Linked DNA regions of Zea mays. The protein of the gene in region 1 interacts with the protein of each later gene in a pairwise test. Links are inferred from orthologs where the notes say so. Each region holds a gene or a part of one and is shown on either strand. Other genes may lie near its edges.

Region 1 (10,716 bases):
GGTCTCCAGGATGCACTCCTAAGGCAGGACTGTCCATGGCGACAGCAATCTCGACACAAGATTTCTGTCTGGTGCACTGTAATGCCGACGACACACTGTTTGGATCTTGTGTACACCCACAGCTAGTTCAACTAAGATGTAGCACTAGTTCGTCCATGGAGGAAGCAGAATGGACGATGAAGTGTGGTCAGCCTGTCGACCATGAGGTGTTTTCTTCCAATGGAGTCTAGGGTATGTTTGAGTTCTACAACGGCTTGTGCCGTACGAAGTGTCAGCAGTGTACGAGGAGGAGGATATCGTTGTCAGTACACATTTTGCCTGTCTAGAAAATTATGAGTACTTTCTCCGATCACAAGTACATGTACATCCATGTTTGTCTTAAGATAAAAAAAGAAAATTCACAAATACTAGTCAGTCGTGGTCGCAATCAAACTTAGAAGCACCTTCAGAAAGGGCTTACTCTCCCAGCAAGCTTCAGCATGAACTCGGGTACAAGGCGCCTTGCAACAGGCACAACGACGAGGTGCTGGGCAGCAGCGTCTGGATCCTCACTGTGTATCACACGGGCGATCTCTTCCAGCATTTTATCTCTGCCGCCCCGAAGAGGATCCTGCGCACAACATTAATTAGTTGCTGCAAAAACAGTGACGAAAGCAACTTACAATCACTTGGGGCCAAGAAAAAGGAAGGGTCCTCCACAAAGCAAGACTGTGCTGAGTTCAAAATTACCATTACTATCGATTTTGAAAATAAAGAAAACCCGAATAGCACTTCTGCACGATGGCTACCTGAAGGAACAAATCAGTATGCGTCTTCCCTTCGTACAGAAATAGATCTGCCCTTGCGCCTTGCTGTTGTAAAGCATCAGCAAATGCTTGGCTGCATTTTTGAATTAAAAATCAAATTAATACAGCGTACCTTATGACAAAAGGTTTACATATTGAAGTGATTCCAAACAATGGATTTGAAAAGGACAGCTTTAAAAGTGGGATAAACATAAGAAGCAAGAGTTAACTAGTTAACTGTCCTCTACCTCTACTGCTTGCACACACAAATGTCCCCTTTTATTTTATTTTATTTAATATCCTAACAGTACCTTAACCGTGTAAAACAGAAACAAAATGGATCTACAATACACAATGTTAAATAAATGTAAACTTTGTGACACACCTTTCAGCTGGAGGTATTGAATAATCACTTGTTCCGTGGAAAAGGATGATGCGAGGCAATAAAGAAACTGCAGACCTAGCAGATGACTCCATAATCATCATTTGTGGAGAGAATTTCTGGAGTGATACTTCACCTTCCATGATACTGCAAGGATATGATCAAAATGAAGTCATAATACACTCACAGGATCACGATTTTATTACAAGACATGAACAAATACTAACAGTGAACCTGAGAAAGATAGACCGGTAAAGGCCACGTCTATGAAAATGATCAACCAAGTTAAGGAGGTTGTACCTGTAAAGATCATACACAAAAAGTTGAAGCCCGTTTCACCAACTGATTCATTTTTTGTCTGTACAGAACACTGTCTTCTATTCAATCTAATGAGCGGCACATGAATAAATGCTAAAGTACAGTGCTTAAAGGTCCATAATTTATAGCATTGTATAAAAGGATCTTATAAGTTGTCATCCCACTCACTACTGAAAAGGCTAAATTCATCAACTGAATGTAGAGTAGTCATATAGTCTCTCCACTTCACAATGACATATAGATTACAGCTAGAAACCTACTCTAATTGGCAGGGCTGCAAATATTAGAAAAATCTACTGATGTAACAGATCTACTATTGAGGCACTTGGGAGAAGGATTGGAGGTACAATTAGGGGAATTAGGGAGATTAAAGGGAGGGGGCAGCAGCAGGGGGAGGCTGTCATGGTGGGTGGTGTGGCCGTCGGGGCTTGAGAGAGAAGAGGGGAGAGAGGTTGAAGGTTTCCTCTAGATTATTCTTGCTTAATCTCAACACACATACATCTTCCGTTATACTTATAGGGAGGATCCAACCTGACTCGACTTGACTTACAAGCAATCCTATCTCCTGGACTTTCCCTAATCCTAGACCTAGATGGGTTTTATGCTGATCTATTGTACCCATGAGCCATGGGTATGGTTCAGGGTTCACATTAGGCCTGGTCCGTTTTGGGCCCAACACCTCAGTGACCCACCAATGCTATTTAGACCCGTGACAACTGACACTATGCACAAATTCAAATAGAAATAGCATTTTTTTTGTTCTGTAAGCTATATAATATTAAGAGACATGAATGTTTTACCCGCCAGAAATACCAAAGTAAGCTTTTAGCTGTGATACACTCCAAGAGGAAGTATCTCCTTCACCGGATTCTCTAATGGCCTGATTTAAGAGAGCACAAGCAGCAATATGTGCACCAGCTGATTGTCCAACAAGATATATCCTGCATATGTAAGAACAAGTACTTTAAATATATCATCTCAGAACAGAGGTATTTTGCATTCAGTTTTTTTTATACACTGCATGTTTCTTTTAGGAACATAAATATTTTGGAAAAAAAGCAAGAGCCAAGAACTATTTCAGTTTTTTATTGTAAGCAAATATGCACACAAGGATAGGCTATAAACCTGCTAGGATCACCTCCATAACTTGTTATATTCTTGCAGACAAAAGCTATTCCTTGAGAAGCATCTTCTACCATGTCACCAATAGTCCCTTGAGGAAAGTTTCTGAAAACAAAGCATTTACATCCTCAGTGACAATGGCCTGAATGATTATGCTGCTTTGCATAATTGGAAATACATTCAGAGTACCTGTAATCAATGCATGCAACTATGATGCCCCTTTCTGCTAAGCGTCTGCCTAAAAGGGCTCCCCACCCTTTGTAACTGAGAAATATACAATTTGATATGCAGAGTCATTGAGTCAAGGCAGAATCAGACTTTGCAATAGCAAGAATATCAAAAAATGGTTAGGGGTTCAAGATAGTACATACTTCCACTCACCCTATGATCCACGCTCCACCAGTCACAAACGCAACGACCGGCTTTAACCCTGTTGTACTAGTGGGCATATACAGGTCCAATCTGCAATAAAACTTAATTGCATGGTTTATCAAGCAGAAATATTAGTTAATGGTAGTAGAATCAAATAAAGTACCTGTTTCTTGGCTGATCTCCATATACAACACTTCTATGAACTTGGCTAGAGAAGAAATAATAATATACAACTGGAGTAGAGCAAAATCCATTAAGGTAGTAGCACAGTCAGGTGCAGTGTATGAGTACAATTCTAAGCAGATAAGAAAACAATGGCAAATCTGGAGCAACGCCAACCTTGAATAAAACCTGGCATCAGCAAGAGGGTATAACAGCAGAGGGCTAGGAACTGCCGAATCCATCTGTAGCCTATCCTGCATAAATTTAACAAGTTATTACAATAAACTGACCAAAAGCATGTAGTCTCGTACAAGGCCGTCTGAACACGCTTCCAATCAACTTATATCTAGAATATATCACTTAGATTGATGATAAATATGGAAGGTCACACAAATTGTCCCGTTTTTTTTTCAACACATACATTCTTTCTGCGCATACAAATTTGCAAATGACATTGAGCACGTAGGTGTACCAGGAGAGCAAGCAATGCACAGGCGAAACTGTCCAAGTCCAAGTAGAGGTTGCAGTACACTAGTTTCAGAGCAGCGGAGTTGATGCGTACCCGAGGTAGCGGAGGAGGATCAGGGTGAGCCTCGTGAGGAGGAAGGTCTCGGCGGCGGCCCGGCCGACTTCGCGGCGGAAGGAGCCGCTGCGCTGCGCGAACCGCCCGCACGCCGCCCGGCGCCGCACGCCCGCGTCGGGGAGGAGCGGCGCATCCTCCGCCGGGGGCGACGCAGAAGCGGCTTCAGGGGACGGCGGCAGGGGCGTGCTCGTCTGGGAGGTCTGCGCGGCGAGCTCCACCTTCATCGGGGCGACGCGAGACTCCCGAGGCGGGGGCTTCTCCGTGGTGCGGATCGGAACCGGTTCAAAGCTGGGAGAGCGACGGCTTCTTGTGGCCAGGCAGCAGCTCCGGCGGCCACCGAGGCGGAACCGCGCTGCGGCCCGCGGAGAGGCCTCGGCGAGCGAGAGCACGGAGGCGTACGGCGGGTCCGGTGCTCCGTCCGGCGGATGGCGGCCAGGAAGATGTGATTCTGTGACCGGGACGCTGACACGTAGACCCCGCATGTCCCGAGCCCACATGTCAACCTCTTATTAGTATTTTTTTTATTATAACGTCGACTTGTCCCGTTCTTTTTTTTATTCGCGGCCGGCCCATGTGACGTCCGATCACGTCTATCCGGCCCATATCCGGTTTGAAACGCGAGAATTTTTTTACCTTATGTTTTTGTGAAATTCCAGAAATTCTGATATCCATACAAAATTACTGTGTTCTCTAGCGGTCCTAAACGACTCTTGGGCTACACATACCTCTCAGTTGGATTGGAGCACAAGATCCACGGTCCACCTGCCGAGCTCGCCAATTATACTGGGCCGACCTTCCATGCATTGGGCTTTTCTGTCAGCCCATCTACCGCAATTCGTTCAGACGTTCACGGCCCATCCTGGTGTCCGTCCTCTTCCAGGGGGAGAAATTCCGGGGAGACGGGAGCGGCGAGGTTGGCGCGCGCCGATACGGCGGCGGAATTCCGGCGACCGGCTCAACGATCCATAGCTTTCTTTTTGTAATCTGCTCCGCCAGCCGAAGCACCGGGCGTTGTCGCTCAACCTAACCATGGCGTCAACCTCCTCTCCCCACCGGAAGTTGCTCCACTCCGTAAACCTCTCTCTGCCCCGCACCCGATAAACCCCTCCCATTTCCGATCTCAATTCCAAACTACACCTCCTAACAGAATTTTCCGCGCCTCTGTTTCAGCTGGTGTACTGGGCGGTGCAGCGCTGCCGGATGTCGGAGTTGCCGTGCCGGCTCACGGTCTCCCTCAAGCGCCCCGCCGAACCCGCCAGCTCCCCGCCGCTGCGCGTCTCCGGTAACAAAGTCTGCGGCGGCGTTCCATCCTTAATTCCGATTATTACGTTGCCGTGTAACATTAGTTTAACGCAAACATTTGGTGGACTATCGCAGTTTCGGACACGGGGGTGGGGAGCAAACTGGAGGAGTTCCTGGAGCTCGACGCCCTGGCGCGTGAGATTCCCGTAGAGAGATGGGGTATGTGATCACTGTGATGCTCACCTGCTCGTCCAGATCAATGCGATTAGTGATTACGACTTGACATTCGTTTATAATAATGTTAATACATCCAGAATTAAAGATTGTTCGATGGTAAGGTGGTCAAATGTTCTTTACTTACACTGTCCTTAACGGCCATAGTTTTAAATGAATCTTCAGATGGAGTACCAACTTTTGAGTGACAACTGACAATGACTTGGACAACAGAAATGGAGTAATTCTTGTTTTTCGTTCATCTTCCTTTGTCTTATGTGGTTTCTATCTGCTTTGCAGATGGCACACTCTTAGTCACAACTACTGGTATGTTTTCTGTTTCACTGCACGATGTAGTTCAGTGTTCTGTTTGTGTTATGAATATCGGTTGATGCGAAGTACTGTACTAGGAGTTCATTAATTCTACATATTCTAAATTGGTTGGTTGGTTGTGCTGGTCCAACAGAGCAGGTTGGTATCTTGAGAATTCACCTGACAAAAAAAATGATAAACTTGGTAGCAATGGTAAGAAACAGATAAATGGAATCCTAATAAAGATGGGAGCATTCGGTGGTCAGACTCTCACCGCGATTCACTGAAATTTTCTCATATCTTGATTTCCTCACTACTTTCATTTGTTATTCATGCTTTTTTCTTCTCCTTATATGTTTTCTTCTTTTGTGATGTAGTTTTCGTTACAGTTTGTCATAATATGCAAGTTCTAAACCTAAAAACACACATGATTATATAGTAGAAGAGTACATCAAAGTTTTCTTCTACCTACGTATATCTATTTAGATGACGGAATTATTAGCACACTTCTTGGGTGTACAAATCAGTACCAAAAGGCAAAAAATATCTGAGAAGGCTGTTTTTGTTTCATTTGTGATATTGTGAGTGCAGTCATTGATGATTTCTTGCCCATTATTCAGGAATCAATGATGAAGCCATTTATCGTTATCAAATTAATCTTCAAGAAGAGACATCAAGTGCAAGATTTAGCAAGTTGGCTACCGCATACAAAAATCATGCACGATTCAGGTACGCTGTCTGTTTTTAGTTTGATGTGACTAATGAATACCTTGATTGATTAAATTGTGGATATGTTTCTCAACACAGTGGAACTGAAGTCTGCCTTTGTCTCTCAAATGATGCTGATGTTGATGATTTTGTATTATGGTTGGTTTGTTTCTTCAAAAAGGTGATTTCTCAACATATAATTATTAGAATCCTAATAATGATCTTATGGTAGGGTATTTGTAGAATATATTGGCAAAGACGGTAGAATTAAGTGTCAATTTTGCGCAGCTAAGTATGTCACTTTTGTGTTGTTGGCTCCATTATGTCTGAGCTGATATTTTTTTCTTAACCTGTGCAGATACAAGTGCTAAGAGCAGCAGTAAGTATATCTGAACTGTTATCTTTCCTCAAGTTGGAAGTGTAGTATTTCACACTTTCATTTTCAATGCTCCTTTGCAGCTTAAATGGCTTATTTCTACTCTTATGCAATCTCAGATTTACTTATCCTTAATTTCTTCAGTTTGATTAACAAAGCTGTTTGATGTGTATTATCTTATGTTTTTCTTTCTAATTCAAAGGGTTAAGTTAGTTTAGTTGCCTTTTAGCATATTCATCTTAATTTGCCTTTGTATTGTTTAATCAAACAATAGTAAATTTAATGCCATCCAGATCTTAAAAATTTCAAACACACCGGTTGCATTATACCTATTCACTTCATGAGGCTTAGTTTTATTGTAGTTCTTTACATGTTTGTACTTTTAGGTATGATTCATTCTTTTTTGGTAATAAGTAGGATATGAAGCATACGTTTTAATATATTTGTGTGGGTATGGCTTTGTTTGACTGAAACAAACTGATGTCCAAATTTGCTTATGTCAATGTTTATTATAAAAACTCGACCTGCGGAGGGTAAGACTGCCCCACGGCATTACAATTAAGAAGACTTCATGCAGATCGAGAAAACCCCAAACCTCCGTCCCACCATATACAACGGTACCGTAGCCCATGTGAGAACGGTCGCGGCCAGGGCTAGACCTTAGACTTGTGCGTTGGCGTGGGACAGACGAGAGGATTTTTTAATCCTAGCTTGAAATTCGCTTAGTCGAACTCATGACCTGAAGAGTGCTACTCATACCACCTAACCAATTCAGCTAGAGGCCCTTTCGCGTCAATGTTTATTATGATGGATTGGAAAAAAACAACAACATGATTCTAGAAGTTGAAACCTCCTAGATAAGAACATGAATACATTTAGAATGCAACATATATTTGATATTGTCAATGGCTGGAGATAGTTGATTAGAAGTGCATTGGCTACGGATATATTGGTAACAAGTATCTTGGAAAAAAGGTTATCAATAAACTAAATAGGTGTATATATGTCCTTGAGCTGATTAACTGAAACAAAAAAACATAACAGGTCTAAAAGTGATTACCATTTTTCAGCTGTCGGTCACTTGTGGTGTGACCGTCCGAGTGTGACATTTAACTTGAATTGGTTGTGGAATATTTTCAGTTTCGATTGTTGAGTATCAAGGACGCATGTACCTTGAGAATCTCTGTTTTGCCTCTTTTTCCTTAAGCTGACAACTTAAGTTCCTGTTTGGCTGTTTATTTTGTACTTAGAATTTAGCATGTGAGCTCTTTGTTGAGCAAACAGGCAACACTGGTTCCAGAAATGTCTGTCTACCACAAGATTCTGATGATGTGCATCATTCTGTTACGGCATCAAGTATTGACCAGCTAGTTTCTGGTCTTAAAGACTACTCACTCTCCCATGTAAATTCTTGCGACAAGTGTGGCATGTGCTTATTTGATAGGTAAAAAAACCTTTCCATCATGACTGTCTTACATATTTTTCTCATACTACTATGCTGCTAAGATAATTTTACTGAATTTGCTAATATATGCTCCAAAATTTTCATGCTGAAGTCACCCTTATTCTTACCTGGGGGCATCTAGGTAGGGGTTGTGCTTTTTGATTTGCTTGTGTCCCTTTTCTGAGCTTACCAATATTCTGTTTATAATTACTTCTAGTCTTTACTCAAAATGAGATGTTTTAAAAACCAAATCATATTTTTCTGCTATCTGTCTTTATTTGAATCTTTCATCAGTAGTTTATCATCTGTATTCATTTCTAGCTTTTTTCCTGAACTCACAATTTAGAAAGCTAAATGATATTTCTGGAATCTCTTTTCCGTGTTCTTTGGAGTTTGCTGTTGATAAATCTTGTTAAGCAGATCGCTTTTTCCATTATTCTTTGAATTCAATTGTATATTTTTTTCCTTTTTTCAGGTCCATTGACATCATGTTTTTTGTTTTAGGTATAGCCCTATGTGAGAAAGCTAACCAAGAATCACTGCTATGTGCTATGTTTGCATTCGTTGATTTTTTTAAGAAATTTGCATTCATTTGTGTTTAAGACATATTTTCACACTTGTTAGCATGATTTGTGTTTAAGATATATTTTCACACTTGTTAGCATTAGATCTTTTGTATCTTCTTTCCTATATTTAACCATGAGAAAATTGTTGATGGCAGCCCACATGCAACAGCATCCCATGCTTCACTGTGTATTTGCCCATTTCTTAATCGCCCAAGCCCAAGCCCAAGCCCAAGCCCATTCTCTCGGCCTTTCTGGCATGCATGTGCTAAGCTCCTATGTCCAAACCTTTATGTAGTCTGGTCTGTTGTCTATTCACTCATTGGCATGCTAATGAACACTTGCATATCATCTGAGTGTGGTGTTATGCATCCTCACGGGTCAGGACAGATTGGTGTGCTTCCATAACATGATTAGTAAGTTTTAGTTTTTCTTCCTTCTTACTTCAGAGATCTTCTAAAGATTGGAACTGGAGCAGCAAACCATGTAGAAAGAAGAAAAGCTAACCGACTACATGTTGAAGTAGTCATAGTGATTGCACATATTGCATCTGATTCAGATTGTTGTATGGCAAATTGCTCGTCCACGCAGGTTTGAACCACGAAGGTTTTAGTTATACATTTTCATTTCCTAAATAGTTTTTTCTCCTAGGCCCTAGTGCGGTACATTCCCCATGCCAAGACAATCTTATTTTAATTTGACAATGGAAATGACTTGTTCGTTTGACTTATAACTTACTTACTAACAGTACAATAACTCTCGTAAAGTATATTAGAGTTAAGCATGATTCAACTGAGCTTATAGTTTATGCCATTGTTGGCTGCAACAATTGCAGGTTTTGTACTTTGAAGATTTTGTACCTTGTCAGATATTGCAGTCCTCTTTTGATGTGTTGATGAGCACAGACTGGCAAAGCTATGGTTTCAAGTTAAAAGGAGGTTTGATGGGTGATGACGGAAACGCTGTTCTCGAGTGGGATAACATGGCATTTGCTCGTATTGATATTTCCATTCATACTTACCACGAATGATATCCAGTTTGCACACTTCATCCTCTTTTTGTTTTCATCCACAAGTTATTTTTTTCAGTGAAAGCTCAATCTATATGTAGAGGGTGGATTTTCTGTCTATCCTTGACTTTCTCCAGCCACTGCTATGCAAGAACGGCAGGGATCTCCACAGGATAGATACCTTTTGAGGAAGGCACTCAAATCTGCTCTAACTCACTTGAAAGCAGATCATGCAGGAGATTTTCTTAGTTGCCATGGCCAGAGGGTATGCACTTTGTACATATTTCTTAGTTTTTTACTACTATTGATTAACTTATTCAGTATGTTTTTTGGACTGAAGAAATTATGTTGCTATTTGGGTAGAAGCTAAGGCTAAAGTGCCATCATACACTTAGGACAATTTGTCTTATTCTATCAACTACGCAACTACGCTGCAAATGGTCACCTATTTATTAGAGTTAGTATAGAGAAAGATAAGCTAAGCGTGACATCATAATAAGCACCATAAAATTCTATCATGAAAAGAATACCATATGTTAGTTATATCATTTCAGGTTGTATCATAATAAGCACTCTAAATCATTCGGTTCATTATGTCATTTCAGGTTCGTGAATACGTTCCTGACCTTGCGGAATCAATCGCTGGGCTGATCTTGTCATCCACCGATGAAGAGTTCCAAGGCGAATGCTTTGCGCTTCTTGGGCTAGGCTCCGAACAAGACGTCTCTGGAGGAGCTGTTCAGTCGTCGATCTGCGAGAAGATGATCCGCATCATAGAGATAAATGACACCAAGGATAATTCAGAGGACAACGTGCCTTATCTGTTCGAATGCGAGAAGCTGGATGAAGATAGCGAGCTGGACGAAGGAGGTGGAGATGAAGACATGGCTTCCGATTTCTAGCGTTGTTTTCACCCGTCTACCGTCTCGTAGAGTTGTAGTGTAGTTAGAGATGGCAATGGGTGTCGAAAACCCGAATACTTATGTAGGTGGATATGAGATGATTTTTATATTGGTGGATATGTTAATGAACAACAATCCCTGCCCGTTGGATAAACGGTACGATACACGCACCGTATATCCGTGAGTAAAATATATCTGTACCATACAACTATTATTATCTAAT
Region 2 (10,771 bases), about 53 Mb from region 1:
CGGAAATGTCGTCGCCGTCGAACAACCGTGGGACGTGCTCCCGGAGCAGCTCTGCGCGGTCCAAGCACAGCGCGCGGGTGGTGGCGCAGACGCCCGTGGACGCGCAGCTGCACGCCGATTTCGAGGGCTCCCAGCGCCACTTCGACTACTCATCCTCGGTGGGCGCCGCCAACCGCCCGTCGGCCAGCACGAGCACCGTCTCCACCTACCTCCAGAACATGCAGCGGGGCCGCTACATCCAGCCCTTCGGCTGCCTGCTCGCCGTCCACCCGGACACCTTCGCGCTGCTCGCCTACAGCGAGAACGCGCCGGAGATGCTCGACCTCACGCCACACGCGGTCCCAACCATCGACCAGCGGGACGCGCTCACCATCGGCGCCGACGTGCGCACGCTCTTCCGCTCGCAGAGCTCCGTCGCGCTTCACAAGGCCGCCACCTTCGGGGAGGTCAACCTGCTCAACCCCATCCTCGTGCACGCCAGGACGTCGGGGAAGCCCTTCTACGCCATATTGCACCGGATCGACGTCGGCCTTGTCATCGACCTTGAGCCGTTCAACCCAGCAGACGTGCCAGTCACGGCCGCGGGCGCGCTTAAGTCGTACAAGCTCGCCGCCAAGGCCATCTCCAGGCTGCAGTCGCTGCCCAGCGGGAACCTGTCGTTGCTGTGCGATGTGCTTGTCCGTGAGGTGAGCGAGCTCACGGGCTATGACCGGGTCATGGCGTACAAGTTCCATGAGGATGAGCACGGTGAGGTCATTTCTGAGTGCAGGAGGTCCGATCTGGAGCCGTATCTTGGCCTGCACTACCCAGCCACCGACATCCCGCAGGCGTCCAGGTTTCTGTTTATGAAGAACAAAATGCGGATGATATGTGATTTCTCTGCCACTCCAGTGCTGATCATTCAGGATGGCAGCCTTGCACAGCCCGTCAGCCTCTGTGGTTCTACCCTCAGGGCTTCCCATGGTTGCCATGCACAGTACATGGCAAACATGGGTTCTGTTGCATCGCTTGTGATGTCAGTCACTATAAACGACGATGAGGAGGAAGATGGGGATACCGACAGTGACCAACAACCGAAAGGCAGGAAGCTGTGGGGGCTGGTCGTCTGCCATCATACAAGCCCGAGGTTTGTCCCTTTCCCGCTAAGGTACGCTTGCGAGTTTCTCTTGCAAGTATTTGGCATACAGCTCAGCAAGGAGGTGGAACTGGCTGCTCAGGCAAAGGAGAGGCACATCCTCAGAACGCAAACCCTTCTTTGTGATATGCTCCTGCGGGATGCTCTTGTTGGGATATTTACCCAGTCACCTAATGTGATGGATCTAGTAAAGTGCGATGGAGCTGCATTGTATTATCAGAACCAGGTTTTGGTGCTCGGATCAACACCGTCCGAGTCAGAGATTAAGAGCATTGCCACATGGCTGCAGGAGAACCATGATGGTTCAACTGGGCTGAGTACTGACAGCTTAGTGGAAGCGGGTTATCCTGGTGCTGCTGCACTCCGTGAAGTCGTGTGTGGCATGGTGGCCATTAAGATCTCTTCCAAAAATTTTATCTTCTGGTTCCGATCACACACAACAAAGGAGATCAAGTGGAGTGGGGCTAAGCATGAACCGTTTGACGCAGATGACAATGGCAGGAAGATGCATCCACGATCTTCATTCAAGGCCTTCTTGGAGGTGGTTAAATGGAGAAGTGTTCCCTGGGAGGATGTTGAAATGGATGCTATCCATTCTTTGCAGTTAATATTACGTGACTCCCTGCAAGGTGAAGATGCCAACAGAAACAACATCAGGTCCATTGTAAAAGCTCCATCTGATGATATGAAGAAGTTACAGGGGCTACTTGAACTAAGAACAGTTACAAACGAGATGGTCCGCTTAATTGAGACAGCAACTGCCCCTGTCTTGGCTGTTGACATTGCCGGTAACATAAATGGATGGAACAAAAAAGCTGCAGAACTAACAGGGTTACCTGTAATGGAAGCCATAGGGAGGCCTCTGATAGATCTTGTTGTTGCTGATTCTGTTGAAGTGGTTAAGCAGATTTTGGACTCAGCTTTACAAGGTTTGTCACTATGCTTTCAGTCGATCTTTTTGTGGTTCCCAGCTTAATCTGAACGTGTCCATTTTTTTCTATGACAGCTTAGTGTCTCCTTGTGTTTCAGGAATTGAAGAGCAAAATCTGGAAATCAAGCTTAAAACATTCCATGAACAGGAGTGTTGTGGTCCAGTTATCTTGATGATTAACTCCTGCTGTAGTCGGGATCTTTCAGAGAAAGTCATTGGAGTTTGCTTTGTAGCACAAGATTTGACCAGGCAGAAGATGATTATGGATAAGTATACTAGGATACAAGGAGACTATGTTGCCATAATAAAGAACCCCAGTGAGCTCATCCCTCCCATATTTATGATCAATGATCTTGGTTCCTGCTTAGAGTGGAATAAAGCTATGCAGAAGATTACTGGTATGAAGAGGGAAGACGCGATAAATAAGTTGTTAATTGGGGAGGTCTTCACGCTCCATGATTATGGCTGTAGGGTGAAAGATCATGCTACTCTAACGAAACTTAGCATACTGATGAATGCAGTGATTTCTGGTCAGGATCCAGAGAAGCTCCTGTTTGGTTTCTTCGGCACAGGTGGGAAGTATATTGAATCCTTGCTGACAGTGAACAAGAGAACAAATGCTGAGGGTAAAATCACTGGCGCTCTTTGCTTTCTGCATGTGGCTAGCCCAGAGCTTCAGCATGCTCTTGAGGTCCAGAAAATGTCTGAACAAGCTGCTACAAACAGCTTTAAAGAATTAACTTACATTCGTCAAGAATTAAGGAACCCACTCAATGGCATGCAATTTACTTATAACTTATTGAAGCCTTCCGAATTGACAGAGGATCAGCGGCAACTTGTTTCATCTAATGTTCTGTGTCAGGACCAGCTGAAAAAGATTTTACATGACACTGATCTTGAAAGCATTGAACAGTGGTAAGTTCTGTATTGTCCGAATCATCTGTAGCAATGTTGATTTAATTATTTGTGTCGTTTTTGTGGCAGTTCTAGAAGGGATCTATAAACAGCATACACTATACATAAAGATATATACTTGCTTTCATATTCACATGATTAGAATTGCTCAGACATGAATTTTTTGTTCATTGTACTAATGCTTTGTAGTGCTAAAGATGTATACATATGAAAAGGCTGACCAGTTCAGTTATACATGCATGGCAATTTTTTTAAACTATTGGTAAACAAATTCTTGCTGTTACAGCTATATGGAGACGAACACAGTAGAGTTCAACCTTGAGGAAGCTCTGAATACGGTCCTGATGCAAGGCATTCCTTTGGGCAAGGAAAAACGTATTTCTATTGAACGTGATTGGCCTGTGGAAGTGTCACACATGTACATTTACGGGGACAATATAAGGCTTCAGCAGGTCCTAGCAGATTATCTGGCTTGCGCCCTTCAATTCACACAACCAGCTGAAGGACATATCGTGCTCCAGGTCATTCCCAAGAAGGAAAACATTGGGTCTGGCATGCAGATTGCTCATTTGGAATTCAGGTAATACGGCACTCTCATCTTGGTCTTTCGATAGCTGTTCTTGAACTGAAAGGATGATTTGACAAATAAGTGAACTACTAAATTGTACATCTAGTTTCTATTAACTCAGCACAACTCCAACATTTGTCTCTTGTAAATAACTTTCGCAGTGCTCCTAATTGTGTTAGTTATAATCCACGAAAAGGATTGTATGTTGACAAGGAACAGATAAGACCTAATGCTAGCAAATTCACTTCTGAACATCTTAACTCCTAAAAAAAATTCGACCTTCTCACGTAGGTCAAGAAAACCCTGAACCCCTGTCACATCCATACAAAGTGATATTATAGCCCATGTGAGAACGACCGGGACCGGTCCTTAGACCTCTGCTTACTCAGCTTAAAATTCGCTCCCACGAGGAGTCGAATCTATCCTGGTCACTGCACCAGCCAAGATGCAGTGATACATGTCACTTCAGGCATGTAGTTACACTTTGCAGTTTGAAACAATGGAAATGATCCCTGTGTAAAATTGGCGCTATCCCTGCCATTCTATATACACTGCAATGTGGCGAATGCGAGTATTGGTGGTGATGGGAGCTGTGTAACTGATTGACTCAATGTGCAGGATTGTCCATCCAGCTCCAGGCGTTCCAGAGGCCCTGATACAGGAGATGTTCCAGCACAACCCAGGGGTGTCCAGGGAGGGTCTCGGCCTGTACATAAGCCAGAAGCTGGTGAAAACGATGAGCGGCACGTTGCAGTACCTACGAGAAGCCGACACCTCTTCGTTCATCATCCTGATAGAGTTCCCGGTCGCCCAGCTCAGCAGCAAGCGGTCCAAGCCTTCGCCAAGTAAATTCTGACACTGATGCTCCTGGAACTGCAGTGACGGTTCGGCCGTGTCAAATTCTCGGGTGTAGGGTGTACCTCTGGCCAAGTGACTGATATTCTGAAAAACATACGGACTTCTAGTATAGGAGAAGAGGAATCCTAATCCTAGTAATTATATCTTAGTAGATATGTGCTTAGTCTCTTGTTAATTTTTTGTCTTGAGAGGACTATATATACTGATAAAGTGATAATTTATTCAGAGAATAAAGAATGGGCTCCATGCTTTGTCTATGTATTCTCTTCTTGAGGGCAATTTACGCCTCTTGAGAAGGGTGGCTTCGTTGTTGGGCTCTTGAAGGCCCACGCAGTCCAACGGAGCCCACTAAGCCTAATTCTGTTTCTTCGCGATCGATTAGCTGATTAGCTCCATGGCGGCTTCGAAAAAATCAAAATAAAAAACTAGCGCCATGGCGGGGAGGGATAAGAGGCGACGAGCGGCGCCGCTCGAAGGCGACGAGCAGCAGTTGCGGCGGAGGCTGGAGGAAGCGGCGCTCCTCCTCCGCAGGATCAAAGGTTTTGTTACTCATCTCCTCGATCGCCTGCCCTTAAATCTTCCCTCTCTCCTGTAGCGTCTGGAGCTGACGCGCGGTTGGGGATGGTGCAGGGCTTGTGCGCTGGATCGTCGAAGAGGTTGCCGCCGGCCGCTCCCCGTCTATAGTGCTCCACCGGTACCGGAACTATTGCTCCTCCGCCGACTCTGCGTCCCCGTCCCCATGGTTTAGCTTCCGCGCCCGCTCCCGGGATCATCTCCTTCCCGACCAATTCACCGTCACATCCCTCGAACAATTTTCACCCAAATGTGTGACATCCGTAGACCCTGGGCGCGCGCTCGTGCGTGATTGCAGTGCCTGCAGCTACGACATCCCCGTCGGCACGGACGTCCTCTCTCTGCTCCACAAGGACTACCACACCTCCCGCCTCAGTACGAATACATCTAAATCTTTGCATTTATGTGATCACACTAATTACTTTCTGATGCGTTGTTCATGCGTAGATGTGCTCCTGAGGGTGCTGTTCGTGGTGCAGCAGCTCCTGCAGCAGAACAAGCACTGCTCCAAGAGGGACATCTACTACATGTACCCCTCCATCTTCGTAGGTCTGTGCTCAGTAGGTGCAATGTTTGCTCCTCATTCCATTATACGGGATTACTAGAATTTGCACATATCTTGGCTCCCTGCAGAAGTAGCAGTTGTTGACCGTGCCATCAACGATATCTGCATACTCTTCAAGTGCAGCCGGCACAATCTCAACGTGGTAGGTCCATAGGTGCCACTAGTCTGCTGTCTTCCCTGAAGCTTCCATTGTGTATTGTAGAAAGGACTTGTGCCATCAACGATATTTGCTCCTTCACTAATATGCAGCACCATGACTATTACATACTGTCTTAATTTCATAACCTTTTATCTGACTGAATACTGTGCTCCCTTGGCTCTCTGCAGGTTCCTGTAGTGAAAGGGTATGAACTGTCATAGAGTTGAAGCTCTGAAGATATGTCCGTTTGTTATTCTTCTATTATTTTACAACGCTTCATTTTTTTATAACTTAAATAAACCCGTTTTTTTTTGTTCCTTAATCATCCTGTGTGCTTCTCACCATTATATAAAGAAAGATGATTTGGATGTGTTTGATGAGCTAGTGGGGTTGGGAACCTGGGATACCGTTCTTTCAATGTAGTCTTAGCCGTATAGGTTTATGCATATGAAGAGGAGGAAGAAATGATGCCATGATGGATCTGTTGTTCTTCCCAGTGTCAGTTCACAACTTTGAGATATATTTTTTTTGATACAGAACATGTCTGAATTCATGAAGAGTTCTCTTTGGTTTATCTGAATAAAAAATCAATATAGCATAAGTGTTAACTAAATTCACTATAGGAATTTGGAAATTCTATATGATTTCCGTATTACACTTGCTGTTACTTGCATTGTTTTTGCTAGGTTTGCGATGTTATATTCATAGAACTATTTGTTATTTATTCAGTTGTTTAATTGTGTGCACATGTCTATTCCCTTCATTATCCTAGTTTGGTGATGGGCTGGATAAGATTTATGGAGGGCGAAAAGAAAGTGTATTGTATAACAAGCGTCAATGCTGTAAGCTTTTATGTTCTCTGCCCCCTAATTTTGCTAACTGGTCTATTGATAAGATTTCATTTAATTTGTTTGCTTTACCTTCTGTATATTCAGGCTTTCTCCATTCCTGTTGACATTGAGGCAATCAAAGGTTTTTCCATCAACTTTAGGAACACAACCCCTTTGTGCTTTTGTGAAATGTGTAGAAGGGAGGGGGTAGTGAAAAATCAACTCTTTCCTTGATGTTTTGAAGCACACTGGGCAAAAAGTCACTGATCATTTTTTGCTCTTAAATGGTACCATAGATCTTCAATTTTTTGTTTCTTTTTTTAAAAGAAATTCATAATCTTACATTCTGAATTAAATAACTACTCCCCCTCTTCCAAGTTATAGTTTACTACTTCACTCTAGCTTTGTCCCAAATCAAACCTCTCTAACTTCACTTTAGTTATATGTTTTGATAAGAGAAGATATCCGGTGCACATGAAAGATTGGTGCACATGGTGCACATATTAAATCATCACCACTCAATTTAGATCTAACGTCTCTAGTTGTTTGGTATATTTTGCTAAGGACACCCTCCAACGTGGTGGTGTGTAGTGATGGAAGGTATTATTTGTAAATTGAATGATCAACTAAAGACGTTAGATATAAAATAAGTGGTGGTGATTTAATATGTGCACCATATGCACCAGATATGTCCTCTTTTGATAATGCATTTATTGAACTTCTAGGTGATAATATATTGTTCTAAAACTTGATCAAAGTTAGAGAAGTTTGACTTAGGACAATGCTAAAGTGAAGAATTATTTGAAACATCGGGAGTACCTTTTATCTTTTCCAGTCAAATTTTGTAATTGAGATATTATATGGTTGTTTAACAACTCGGATTTAGACGTGCCTACACCAGTACACCTCTATAGCAAAGCTTTTGATTTCCTCCCTTGATACCCTGAATTGCATTATAGTGAGCTGAAGTTGTCTTATTCTTTCTTCTCTTGCAGATGTTGTTAGTGTTGCCCACTACATACTTGTGGTTGAGAAGGAGACAGGTCTTTTTTTTTTTGCATTTAATAATTTCCGCTCTTTGTACAATATGCTTCAGTAGTCCCTTTGCAGTGTTCCAGCGTTTGGCCAATGACAAGTTCTGTGAAAGAAATCGCTGCATTGTTATTACAGTAAGTAACAACTCTCACCCGATGTTATCAATTTTCATAATTTTTTCTCTAGTTTCATGATATTGCATTGTCAACCCAGGGAAGAGGCTATCCAGATATTCCAACAAGAAGGCATGTGCTCTTTATTCATTAAGTTCCTCTTGCATATTTCTCAACCGCTATCCCAATTTTACATTCTTTTTCCATCCTAGATTCCTGCGGTACCTTGTTGAACTGCTGCATCTGCCTGCTTATTGCTTAGTGGACTCAGATCCTTATGGTTTCGACATTCTGGCTACCTATAAATTTGGTTCCTTGGTAGGCATGATTTATCTGATGCTGCTATGCTCATCTATATCTATTGTCTATGAACTTAACTTCCTTAGCAGATTCACAGGTTAAAATTGCAGGTAACGAATCCATGGACATGATCATATACTGCACCTTTCGTCCTAAATCAACAGCTTGTCTGGCCTCTTTGCATTTGAAAGTTCTATTACTTTATGAAGTCCCGTTAGCAATAAGGCTGTGTATTAGAGCAGTTCATTTTTCCCCTCAAAATAAACATGATTATGCTCGTTTTGCTCATCTTATCACAAGCATGACCAAAATATTTCTTTTTGCTCTTTGAAACCCAAGATTATGACATATTTACTTGTGTTAACTTACCAACCTCTGCTACTTGCGTAATTTCATTCTTCAAGCAATTGGCACATGATGCAAACTTGTTGCGTGTCCCTGATATACGGTGGCTTGGAGTTTTCACATCTGATTTTGAAGAATATTGCCTTCCAGACTGCTGCCTACTTCGTTTGTCACCTGAAGGTGAATAAACTGTAGTGATTCAAGTGGCATACATACTTTTTTTTGGAAGATGTTCCTTAGTTTCTTGTTGTATGTCAAATGCCAACCTGTGAAATCATGTGTTCTGCTGCGCAGATAGGAGGAAAGCTGAAGGCATTCTTGCTAGGTGCTATTTACACAGGGAAGCCCCAGAATGGAGGTAATGAAGTAATGAACCAGCTTTGGAGTTTTACTAGGTGTATTACAATTATATCCTCCATGATATCATTGTGATCTCCAGGTCAAGATCGAGGTCTATTAGTGCATGGAGTTTTACTAGAGCTTTCGTGGAATCTGATTTGTACAGTCATCATTCTTATGATTTAGTTGCTGGAGTTTGAGTTTCTTCAGCACCAGATCTTTAGCTTCAATGACTGTATAGCTTCCTGTTTTTACCAGTAAAGGCACAATAGTTTGAAGCACTTTATATTTTAAGATATTAAACGCATCATTTCCTATCAAGAATTCTGAGTTATTTTTTACATTTTCTCCCTGAATTTCACATGTATTCTCTAATTTGACAGGTCAGAGTTGGAAGCAATGCTGCAAAAGGGTGTCAAGTTTGAGATTGAGGCACTATCCGCAAATTCCATTTCCTTTTTATCGCATGAGTACATTCCCCAGAAAATCAAACAAGGCATGCATTTATAAGATTGGACATTCTTGTATCCGTCCAGGATGTGTCATAGAGTACAATCTTTTTTTGTCTGATTATAGTTATATCCGGAGACATATCATGTGCAAACACTAAGGATCTGTTTCAGAACATAACATAATATTTCCTTAATCCTAAGATAATATCGTGGTATTTGAGCATAACATGTTATTTTAGACTAAAAGATATTTGGGAGCATATCTAAAAACTATGTATTTTAAACCATGGTTTTACTAATACTTTTTGTTTGTACATAACTACGTCTTCTCTTCTACACTATAACTGAAATACTGTGTTTCTAAACGAATGTTGGATTAGACTGATATAAAATATACCATATGTATGTCATGATATACAATAAACTGTAGTATTATAAACTGTGGTTTTAAGAAACAGAGTTTCCAAATAGGCCCCAAGGATGTGTTTGGTTTGATTATAGTTATATCTCGAGACATATCATGGATGTGTTTGGTTTGAGGACATTCCTCACTTTTTTTATTTGATTTGTGGATTAGAATGAGGGCATGTTTGGTTCTATGAGGCTAAACTTTAGTCTCTCTTTTTTAGTCCTTAAATTACAAAAAAAAAGGACCAAAGAAGAGAGGAAATCTGATGTATTACCTTTTAGTCCCCAATATTTAGTAATTTGAGGAGTAAAATGAACAACCATCAAGTTGATCTATCACCATCTCATCCTCACAAGCAACGTGCCACCGTGAAACTCATCTGATTATTATATATTTATATGTCACAGCTGCTTCCAACTACTGCTCTCGCCCATTCCTGGAGCAGGCGGCTTGAACGGATGTAAAGTTTTTGTTGGTACTTAATTGATAGTGCAGTACGATGGTTCAGGATGGCGTAAAACTAAAACAGGTAATGGTAGTAGTAAGTAGCGTTATGATCCCCTTAGTTATTTTGTTTCAGCCTGCAGTTATTTTATATATGACCTAGTTAGTTTAAAACTGAACTGATTAGGTGCATCATATATAAAAGAAAAGAGAAGCATATATATATATATATATGGCTCACTTTTGTGGTATCAGAAAGCAACACTGTTTGTCAGCATAAAAGATAACAAAAGTAGCGTTATTTTCCCGCCAGAGCACGCCAAGAGTCTTCCTATCAAGCCTAGGACACATCACTACCTAGAGGTGCTAGCATAGCAAACACTCTCCTCTATCTAATACATATATAATTCTAGCATAATAATATAGGTCGTTAAAGTATGTTAAGTTTAATTTGGTAGACGTGCTAGAAAAAAACTACTAAAAAAGTTCTCATAATAACCAGAAACTTTTAATTTGGTAGACTCTAATCATCGTCACCGATAATAGCAATTGGATCTATATAATAAATTAAATTACCCACCTCTACTGCTGTTATGAGTAATATTTGAGCTTTCACAAACCATCGCCATTGCCACTCTCAGTTTGCGGCCCCGGCTCGGCTCACTCACCATGGTGGTCTCGCCGGTCGAAGTGCTCTCGTCAGACTGTCCGCAGCGGTTTCCTCTAAATTTCTCCCTCTATATCACTTTTTTGCGTCACATCATCAACATTTCATCCCCTATTTTTTCATCTTCCGCAGCGGTTTCCTCTATATTCTCCC

The links.
Region 2: the proteins of type 2 DNA topoisomerase 6 subunit B-like (region 1) and meiotic recombination protein SPO11 interact in binary tests that used the Arabidopsis thaliana proteins (3 or more experiments, as listed by UniProt). The link is inferred for Zea mays from reciprocal best matches to the Arabidopsis thaliana genes AT1G60460 and ATSPO11-1.

Annotation. Positions count from the first base shown.
Region 1 is NC_050100.1:60,879,734-60,890,449, forward strand, and holds the start of type 2 DNA topoisomerase 6 subunit B-like, read left to right. Parts: upstream 1-4,570; 5' UTR 4,571-4,753; coding exon 4,754-4,795; intron 4,796-4,894; coding exon 4,895-5,006; intron 5,007-5,101; coding exon 5,102-5,185; intron 5,186-5,479; coding exon 5,480-5,506; intron 5,507-6,111; coding exon 6,112-6,220; intron 6,221-6,298; coding exon 6,299-6,380; intron 6,381-6,557; coding exon 6,558-6,578; intron 6,579-7,825; coding exon 7,826-8,019; intron 8,020-9,031; coding exon 9,032-9,173; intron 9,174-9,417; coding exon 9,418-9,611; intron 9,612-9,732; coding exon 9,733-9,856; intron 9,857-10,196; coding exon 10,197-10,493; 3' UTR 10,494-10,716. Other genes in the region: Mitogen-activated protein kinase 12, read left to right, coding at 1-22; probable isoprenylcysteine alpha-carbonyl methylesterase ICMEL1, read right to left, coding at 559-708, 789-879, 1,171-1,314, 1,402-1,467, 2,286-2,426, 2,611-2,712, 2,797-2,871, 2,989-3,069 and 3 more.
Region 2 is NC_050100.1:7,552,308-7,563,078, reverse strand, and holds meiotic recombination protein SPO11, read left to right. Parts: upstream 1-4,827; 5' UTR 4,828-4,840; coding exon 4,841-4,946; intron 4,947-5,037; coding exon 5,038-5,149; coding exon of another isoform or gene 5,150-5,278; coding exon 5,279-5,355; intron 5,356-5,427; coding exon 5,428-5,529; intron 5,530-5,613; coding exon 5,614-5,687; intron 5,688-5,872; coding exon 5,873-5,889; intron 5,890-6,456; coding exon 6,457-6,526; intron 6,527-6,619; coding exon 6,620-6,656; intron 6,657-7,509; coding exon 7,510-7,557; intron 7,558-7,624; coding exon 7,625-7,683; intron 7,684-7,762; coding exon 7,763-7,794; intron 7,795-7,874; coding exon 7,875-7,980; intron 7,981-8,366; coding exon 8,367-8,487; intron 8,488-8,601; coding exon 8,602-8,665; intron 8,666-9,029; coding exon 9,030-9,156; coding exon of another isoform or gene 9,157-9,256; 3' UTR 9,257-9,297; downstream 9,298-10,771. Other genes in the region: phytochromeC2, read left to right, coding at 6-2,064, 2,165-2,981, 3,268-3,561, 4,168-4,405. UniProt on the Arabidopsis thaliana protein: Component of a topoisomerase 6 complex specifically required for meiotic recombination. Together with MTOPVIB, mediates DNA cleavage that forms the double-strand breaks (DSB) that initiate meiotic recombination.